Linked DNA regions of Callithrix jacchus. The protein of the gene in region 2 purifies or fractionates together with the protein of the main gene of each other region. This does not show direct contact. Links are inferred from orthologs where the notes say so. Each region holds a gene or a part of one and is shown on either strand. Other genes may lie near its edges.

Region 1 (4,585 bases), about 120 Mb from region 2:
TCTCATGCCTCAGCCTCCCGAGTAGCTGGGACTAAAATTAGCCGCCACCATGCCCAGCTAATTTTTTGTATTTTTAGTAGAGACGGGGATTTGCCATGTTGGCCAGGCTGATCTCGAACTCCAGACTTCAAGTGATCTGCCCGGGGCTTCCCAAATTGTTGGGATTTCAGGCGTGAGCCACCGGGCCCTGCCAGCAACAGTTTTTGTTTTTTGTTTTTGTTTTTTTTTGGCTGAATGGACATTGTTATTGCCAAATAAAGGTATGGTGTATGATTTTAGACTTCCTTATAGTTTTAGAATCCGAATTTTCTAGAAGGATCTAATGTAATCGCAGATAGTTATCAGATAAAGAATGAAACAGGAGGAATCAATGCCTTCTGATGGCCTCAAGCAGGTGTTAGCAACAGGGAGCTTGGCTCCTGCAACCACAGGTTCCTCTTTTTTTTTTTTTTTTTTAAGATGGAATCTCAATCTGTAGCCCAGGCTGGAGTTCAGTAGCACGATTTCAGCTCACTGCAACCTCCGCCTCCCAGGTTCAAGCCATTCTCTGCCTCAGCCTCCTGAGTAGCTGGGATTACAGGCACCTGCCACCACGCCCGGCTAATTTTTTTTTTGAGACGAAGTTTCGCTCCTGTTTAGCGTGCAATGGGGCGGTCTCAGCTCACCACAACTTCCGCCTCCTGGGTTCAAGCGATACCCATGCCTCAGCCTCCCAAGTAGCTGGGATTACACGCATGTGCCATCACGCCCGGCTAATTTTGTATTTTTAGTAGAGACGGGGTTTCTCCATGTTGGTCAGGCTGGTCTCGAACTCCCTATCTCGGGCCACCAGCCCGCCTCGCCCTCCCATCCGTATTTTCGGGCCTCCCGCCCGCCTAGGCCTCCCATGCCTATCTCGGGCCTCACAAAGTGCTGGGATTACAGGCATGAGCCACCGCGCCCGGCCTAATTTTTGTATTTTTTTTAGTAGGGACGGGTTTTCACCAGCGTTCGTTTCTTCCCGGACGCTGGTCTCGAAATGCTGACCTTGTAATCCACTTCGGCCTTCCAAAGTGTCAGGTTTACAGGCATGAGCAACCGCGCCCAGCTACTACAGGTTTTTCTTTCCTTTTTTTAAGACGGAGTTTCGCTCTTGTTACCCAGGCTGGAGTGCAAATGGCGCGATCTCGGCTCACCGCAACCTCCGCCTCCTGGGTTCAGGCAATTCTGCCCCAGCCTCATGAGTAACTGGGATTACAGGCACACGCCACCATGCCCAGCTAATTTTTTTGTATTTGTAGTAGAGACGGGGTTTCACCTTGTTGACCAGGATGGTCTCGATCTCTTGACCTCGTGATCCACCCGTCTCGGCCTCCCAAAGTGCTGTGATTACAGGCTTGAGCCACCGCGCACTGAACCCCAGAGAAAGGACCCGCAGATCCCGCCACGCCTATGCCGCGTTAGCGCGCAAAGATGGCAGCCGCCGCGCCCCGTGGGCGGAGACAAGCGGGCCCGAGCACTTCCGAGCGTTCCTGAAGCCCAGAGGAACTCCGGGAACCGCGCGGGCGGGAGCTGCCCCACCCGGAACCTGGGAGCGGCGGCGCCGGCGCGGGGGAGGGGAGGCCGGATGTGAGTGGAGCGGCCATTTCCTGTTTCTCTGCAGTTTTCCCCAGCTTTGGGTGGTGGCCGCTGCCGGGCTTCGGCTTCCAGTCCGCGGAGGGCGAGGCGGCGTGGACAGCGGCCCCGGCATCCAGCGCCCTGCCGTCCTCAAGCCGCGCGCCCGTCCGCCGCGCCCCGAGCCCGCCGCTTCCCGTTTCAGCGCCGTGCCGCTGCCGCCGCGGCCCAGCGAGCGGCCCAGATGCAGGCCATCAAGTGTGTGGTGGTGGGAGACGGGTAAGTGCGTTGCCGGGTCTGGGCTGGGGGCCGCGGGGGCGGGCGCGGGCCGGGGTGGGCGCGGGCGGGGGGCGGGCCGGGATTGGGGCCCAGGCAGGCCGGGATCCCTGGCGGGCTCGCGTAGGCGGTGGGCCTGGGCCTGTGGGGCACGGGGCGGGGGCCGCGGGCGCCGGCTGCCCGGGCGGCGCGTGCCTGGTTCCGGCTCTCGCTGGGGGAGGGCTTCGCCACTCGCCGGCCGGTGGAAAAAGTGAACTCCACCCTCCGGCTTTCTTCCCGGACGCCGCCCGCCGCCCGCCGCCCTCCCCGGGAGCCCTCGTAGAGGAAGCGCTCTTGGAGATTTTTACCGTTTTTCCAAAAAGGGACCCTCTCTTGTTTTTTTGCTTGAACCTCTCGATCCCTGGACCTCGAGAGCTGTGTTGGGAACCCGGCGGTTGAGTCGATCATATTTGATGCGTGCCCGATTGAACTGGCCGCTTTAGTGCCCCAAAGTTTTCTTTAAAAATTTTTTTTTTTTTTTTGCAGAGACGGAGTCTCGCTGTGTTGCCCAAGCTGGTCTTGAACTCCTCCTGGGTTCAAGCGATTCTCCCATCCCAGCCTCTCAAAATGCTGGGATTACAGGCGCCTACGCCTGGCTAATTTTTAAAACTTTTTGTAGAAATGGGGTCTCACTGTATTTCCCAGGCTGGTTTCGAATTCCTGGCTGGGATCAGGCGAACCTCCTGCCTGTCAGCCTCCAAAAGCGCTGGGTTGACACCGCGCCCGGCCCCCAAACTGATTTTTGAGCAGGTTTTTTCGACTTACACTTCTGCCACTGTTAGGATTCCTAAAATTAATGCTTTCTCCCTTTCCGAGGATAAAGTTTTTAAGATGCTCCCTGGCAGGAGCCATCTGTGATGGGGACTGTTCTTTTATCTTTCTTTATTTTATTTTATTTTTTTAAACGTGGTGTGGTCATTGAAAAAAAAAAAAAACTTTCTTGCTTAACGCGTTGGGTATGGGATGTAGCAGAACTGGCTCCTGTGACTCCAGGCGTTGCTTTTCATGACTGTCCGTGTTGGTTACAGGCCCTCGAGAAGGACAAGACTTGTTTTATGCCGTTTTTTTCTCCCATAGAAACAAAAATCTCAGTGTAACCCGAGCAAAATCGCGCGTCTCAGGCGTCGCTTGTATAGGTTAGTGTTAGCAAGGAAGAATTACTAACAGTTTCGTCAAACTCAGAATGCAACTGGTACATGTTCGAGTAAAGTCGAAGGAAAGTTAGGGCATCAAGGTTAACTTGGTTGATATTCTTCGAATTTGTCATTAGGTTTTGGTTTTATGCCTCTACGTCAATTCATGGATTCTCAGTGTATTTAGATAATTATACTGTTAAGACATTTGCAATTGTTTCAGTTATCCTTCTTGCAATTCAGATGCAAGAGGATAATTAGACAACTGATTTTTGTGAGAGGCCCATCTGTCGGATTTGTCTTGCAAGTGTGAAGGATTATTAACGCCTCATAATTTTATGTTTATATGATAACTAAAAATTGTAACTTTCAGTTAGAGTACGTATGCTGTTCAAGCTTTTTTTTTTTTTTTGACTCGGAGTCTCACTCCGTTGTCCAGGCTAGAGTGCAGCAGTGTGATCTCTGCTCACTGCACCCTCTGCCTCCCAGGTTAAAGTGGTCCTCCTGCCTCGGCCCCCCTAGCAGCTGGGATTACAGGCACGTGCCACCATGCTTGGCCGGTTTTTGTAATTTTAGTAGAGATGGGGTTTCGCCATATTGGCCAGGCTGGTTTTGACCTCCTGACCTTGTGATCCTCCTGCCTCAGCCTCCCAAAGTGCTGGGATTACAGGCATGAGCCATTGTGCCTGGCTGGGCTTTACTTTTTTATTTGGGAAAAGTGTTCAGTCAATTGATTGATAGTGACATCAGTGAATTGTTTCATTTAAAAAAAAATTTTCGAGACAGGGTCTCTCAGTGTTACACAGGTTGGAGTGCAGTTGTGCCATCTTGGCTCACTGCAACCTCCACTTCACCCGCTCAAGCGATTCTTAGCCTCCCGAGTAGCTGGGATTACAGGTGCCTGCCACCACGACTGGCTAGTTTTTGTATTTTTAGTAGAGATGAGGTTTCACCATGTTGGCCAGGGTGATTTTGAATTCCTGACTCAAGTGATCTGCCTGCCTTATCCTCCCAAAGTGCTGGGATTACAGGAGTGAGCCATGGCACCTGGCCCACCTTTTCTTAAGAACATTTAACATTATTTGGATTTCCTTTAAGCTAAAAACGCTGAATCAAGTTTTTTTTTTTTTGTTTGTTTGTTTGTTTTTTTTTTTGAGATGGGGTCTCAGTCTGTTGCCCAGGCTGGAGTGTGATAGTGTGATCTCGGCTCACTGCCACCTCCATCTCCTGAGTTCAAGCGATTCTCCTGCCTTAGCCTCCTGTGTAGGTGGTGTTACGGGCGCGTGCTACCACCCAGCTAATTTTTTGTATTTTTAGTAGAGATGAGGTTTCACCATGTTGTCCAGGCTGGTCTTGAACTCCTGACCTCAGGTGATCTGTCCACTTTGGCCTAGGATGACAGGCCAAAGTGCTAGGATGATAGGGATGAGCCACTGTGCCTGGCTGACCATATTATTATTATTACTATTTTTTGAGACAGGGTCTCACTCTGTTGCCTGGGCTGGAGTGCAGTGGTGCAGTCTCTGCTTGCTGCAACCTCTGCC
Region 2 (3,809 bases):
GGTTTAGAAACACACAAAGAAAATAAACAAAGGAGAGAATTATGAAAGTTGTGGCATTTGGGATCACCTGTCTCTGAAATTTGAAAATACCATTTAGTATCAAGATGACCAAGAGTCTAAGAATGTGATTTGCATGGATATGTTAAAGGGAGGTAACATTTTGGATTGACAACTGACTGTACAGTTTGCCTAACGAAGTTTAATGGTATAAATAAATACACATGTAAAAGTATCGTAAAACATAACTGAAGACCAGCACCTTCCTGACTTTGTTACCTGGCTTCTCCGGTCTGTGTTTCTAGTTGGTTCACCCAAGCCTTGTATACCTCTACAGGGTTTGTGTTGATAGTCAGCGACTTGTCGTCGATGATCTCTTTCACCACTGGAGCCAGGAGTTGGCGCAGGGTGTTCTGTCCTCGGGCACCTCTGTTGAAGCTGACAACCATCTTGATGACTGTAGGGTTACCAGTAACTATGTCCTGGACCTGGTCCACTTTTGATCTAAAAAAGCCCAAGACAAAAGAAAATGGATTGCTTCTATGGAGAGTTTTTTTTTTTTTTTTTTGACAGAGTACTGCTCTGTCACCCAGGCTGAAGTGCAGTGGTGTGGTCTTGGCTCACTGCAGCCTTTGCTTCCCGGATTCAAGTGATTCTCTTGCCTTGGCCTCCCGAGTAGCTGGGACTACTGGTGTATGCCACCACATGTCCAGGGCTAATTTTTGTATTTTTAGTAGAGACGAAGTTTCACCATGTTGGCCAGACTGGTCTCGAACTCTTAACCTCAGGTGATCCACCCACCTCAACCTCCCAAAGTGCTGGGATTACAGTCCTGAGCCATGGTGCTGGGACTGAATACAGTTTTAAACAATGTATCCTCTCTCTGGCAGGCAAGGAATTCACGGAATTACACTTTTTTCTATGAAAATCAAAGTTAGCGTGCTTTAAAAACAAGCAATCATTTATAAGGTGTATATTTCTTTTTTTTTTTCTCTCTTTGAAACAGAGTCTCACTGTTGCCCAGGCTGGAGTGCAGTGGCTCACTGTAACCTCTGCCTCCAGGGTTCAAGCAATTCTCCTGTCTCAGCCTCTTGAGTGGCTGGGATCACAGGCACATGTAACCATGCCCAACTAATTTTTGTATTTTCCAAGAGATGGGCTTCAGCATGTTGGCCAGGCTGGTCCCAACTCCTGACCTCAAATGATCCACCCATCTTGGCCTCCCAAAGTGCTGGGATAAGAGGCATGAGCCACCACTCCCAGTCTCCAAGGTGTATGTTTCTTAGATGAATAATTTGAGGATCTAAAAATAAAGTCACAGCCTCAATTTCAACCTATAAGGCAGGTATAAGCTGAAAATAGACCGGGACTAACAATACTAGGTAACACTGTACAAGTATCACTCCTCTGTTGTTATCAAATTTCAAAAACAACTTTCTTGACTGAATAAACTGTTTCACTTCTTCAAATCCTACTTAAAGCTGCGATACAGCTTCTAGCCATATCAAATGGCTGAGAGAGCGCTTCTTGATTTACGGTGCTGACTCTCAGGGCCTCTCCCCTCTCTTCCTCCCCTTTCTCCCTTCCCCCTTTTGACCACCCTCTCCCTCTTCCACCTCCTTCCCCTTTAGAGCCTGACAGTGCCTGGTCCTTATCTTATCCAGTCATTCTTTTTTATTTCCTTTTCTGGCTCCTCTTCCCACTTTTAAATGCTGTTTTTGTTTACTTTTTGACTAATTGTAGGTGCTTGTAAGGAGAATGAGGGTAAATCAATGTCCAAACAAAAGAATAACTGGTCTACCAGAGCCCAACCAAACCTCATGCACAGGCACAGCTTGACCCGTCATCTCTCTGGGACCTACCCCTCTGAGGTCAGGAGTTTGAGACCAGTCTGGCCAACATGGTGAAACCCATCTCTACTAAAAATACAAAAATTAGCCAGGCGTGGTGGTGAGTGCCTGTAGTCCCAGCTACTCGGGAGGCTGAGGCAGGAATATCACTTGAACTCAGGAGGCAGAGGTTGTAATGAGCTGAGATCATGCCACTGTATTCCAGCCTGACCGACAGAGCGAGAGTTCATCTCCAAGAAAAAAAAAAAGATTTCACAGATCCCCAAAAATCAAATAGAGCCTTAACAGCTGGGCCTTTACTCAGTGTCTCCCATGACCTGGCCATACCCTGTCTTTCATGGTTCATCTCCCCGTAGTTAGTAATCGAGTCACATTTTGGGTAGACTAATCTACTTTCCTTCTTGCACCTACGCCCATGTTGTTTTCACTACCATTGTGCCTTATTTCCCTTTTCTATCTCTTTTTATAAAAATTGTAGCTATTCCTCAAAGTTTTGTGTCAAGCACCTCCTCTTCTATAAAATCTTTACTAGTGAACCAAGTTGGAACTTCTCCAATCCTCTAACCCGATACATTGTACATGTCCTCCATTTAGACACATCCTTCATTTAGCACTTACCACATTCCACTGTACAGCATTCCTATTTCTCCCAAATCACATTTCTCAAGGGCTTGTAGACACCTCGAGGGCAGAGGTGCCTGGCTCCCATGCTCCCAAAACCAATAGGAGCTAGCATAACTTAAGGTTTCTACAAGTCAGAAAGGCCACCTGAGCTAAGGACATTTCTCATGCATGTTTCTCAGCCCACTCATTATAGCTACCTAGACAACTTTTACATTAACTGAGTCAGAAAATAAATTAGCAAAGGTAGCTTAAGTTCTAGTACGAAGGGAAGACGATTTACGCAGAGATCGTGCTCTGCATTCCCACCCGTTAAATGGCTTTCCTACTCAGAATTTTAATTAAGTTAAATGTTCTCACTGGTTTTCAAGAAGCTATTGCTTTTCAGTCGTTACAAACATACAAAATCAAGAGTTAATTTAACACTAGAGAAAGTATCACTGGTGGGAGAAAATGGTACCTGAATATAGGTCTAATGATATAGAAATATTCTCAAGAAACTTGATATATTTTAATATGTGAGAATAACTTATAATAATTTAAAAATAATTTTAGTAAATCAAAGACAGCCTCCACTAACAAAAGCATCTATTCATTGGTATTTTTACATATGTATTTATATACCTACTTTATTTCTTCCTCCAGAGCAGTTTTAAAAAGCTTGAGAAGTAGATATTCTTCTCGCTGATTAGAGGCATAATTATATAGTGTGAAAATAACAGTATCCATAAATTTAGTGGACTTGTTCTGTGGCATCTGGAAAATCAGCTTAGCCAAGTATAAAGGGTTGGTCTAGAAAGAAAGAAGGAAGAAAACAAAAAATCCCACGAAACAATAGGTTAATATATTATTAAAGCACACAGCAGTATCTGATTCCCTGCTCTTCAATGACTTAATATGTCATGAAAAGCATATAGATAGGTATATAAAATAATTTTTATGTGCCAAGTACTCATCTCTATGCTTTCAGTATATAGTATAACTTTCTACTATTGCTTCCTATAGACTGATATATAATTTTCTACTTTAGCTTCTTATGGCATATTAATATTTTAAAATATTACTATCAAATATTACTTAATATTAATATACTATAGGAAGCTAGAGTAGAAAATTATGATAGGATTTAAAAGATGCACATGATATGATATACTTTACGTATCATATCTACTTTTTACTATTGTATTTTTGAGCCACACATTAATATTTATTATATTTAGGGGTGGGGGCCAATAGAATCTGGTGTCCAAAGACACAGGCAAAGCTTGGGCACGGTAGCTTACACCTATAATTCCAGCACTTTGGGAGACTGAGGTAGAAGTATAGCTTGAGCCCAGGAGG

The links.
Region 1: the proteins of IQGAP2 (region 2) and RAC1 purify together in Homo sapiens (affinity purification with mass spectrometry; 5 studies listed by BioGRID and IntAct, with this or other methods). This does not show direct contact. The link is inferred for Callithrix jacchus from reciprocal best matches to the Homo sapiens genes IQGAP2 and RAC1.

The regions. Positions count from the first base shown.
Region 1 is NC_133503.1:16,112,964-16,117,548, forward strand, and holds the start of RAC1 (ras-related C3 botulinum toxin substrate 1), read left to right. Parts: upstream 1-1,630; 5' UTR 1,631-1,837; coding exon 1,838-1,872; intron 1,873-4,585. UniProt on the Homo sapiens protein: Plasma membrane-associated small GTPase which cycles between active GTP-bound and inactive GDP-bound states.
Region 2 is NC_133503.1:134,365,053-134,368,861, forward strand, and holds part of IQGAP2 (ras GTPase-activating-like protein IQGAP2), read right to left. Parts: intron 3,261-3,809; coding exon 3,097-3,260; intron 502-3,096; coding exon 277-501; intron 1-276. UniProt on the Homo sapiens protein: Binds to activated CDC42 and RAC1 but does not seem to stimulate their GTPase activity. Associates with calmodulin.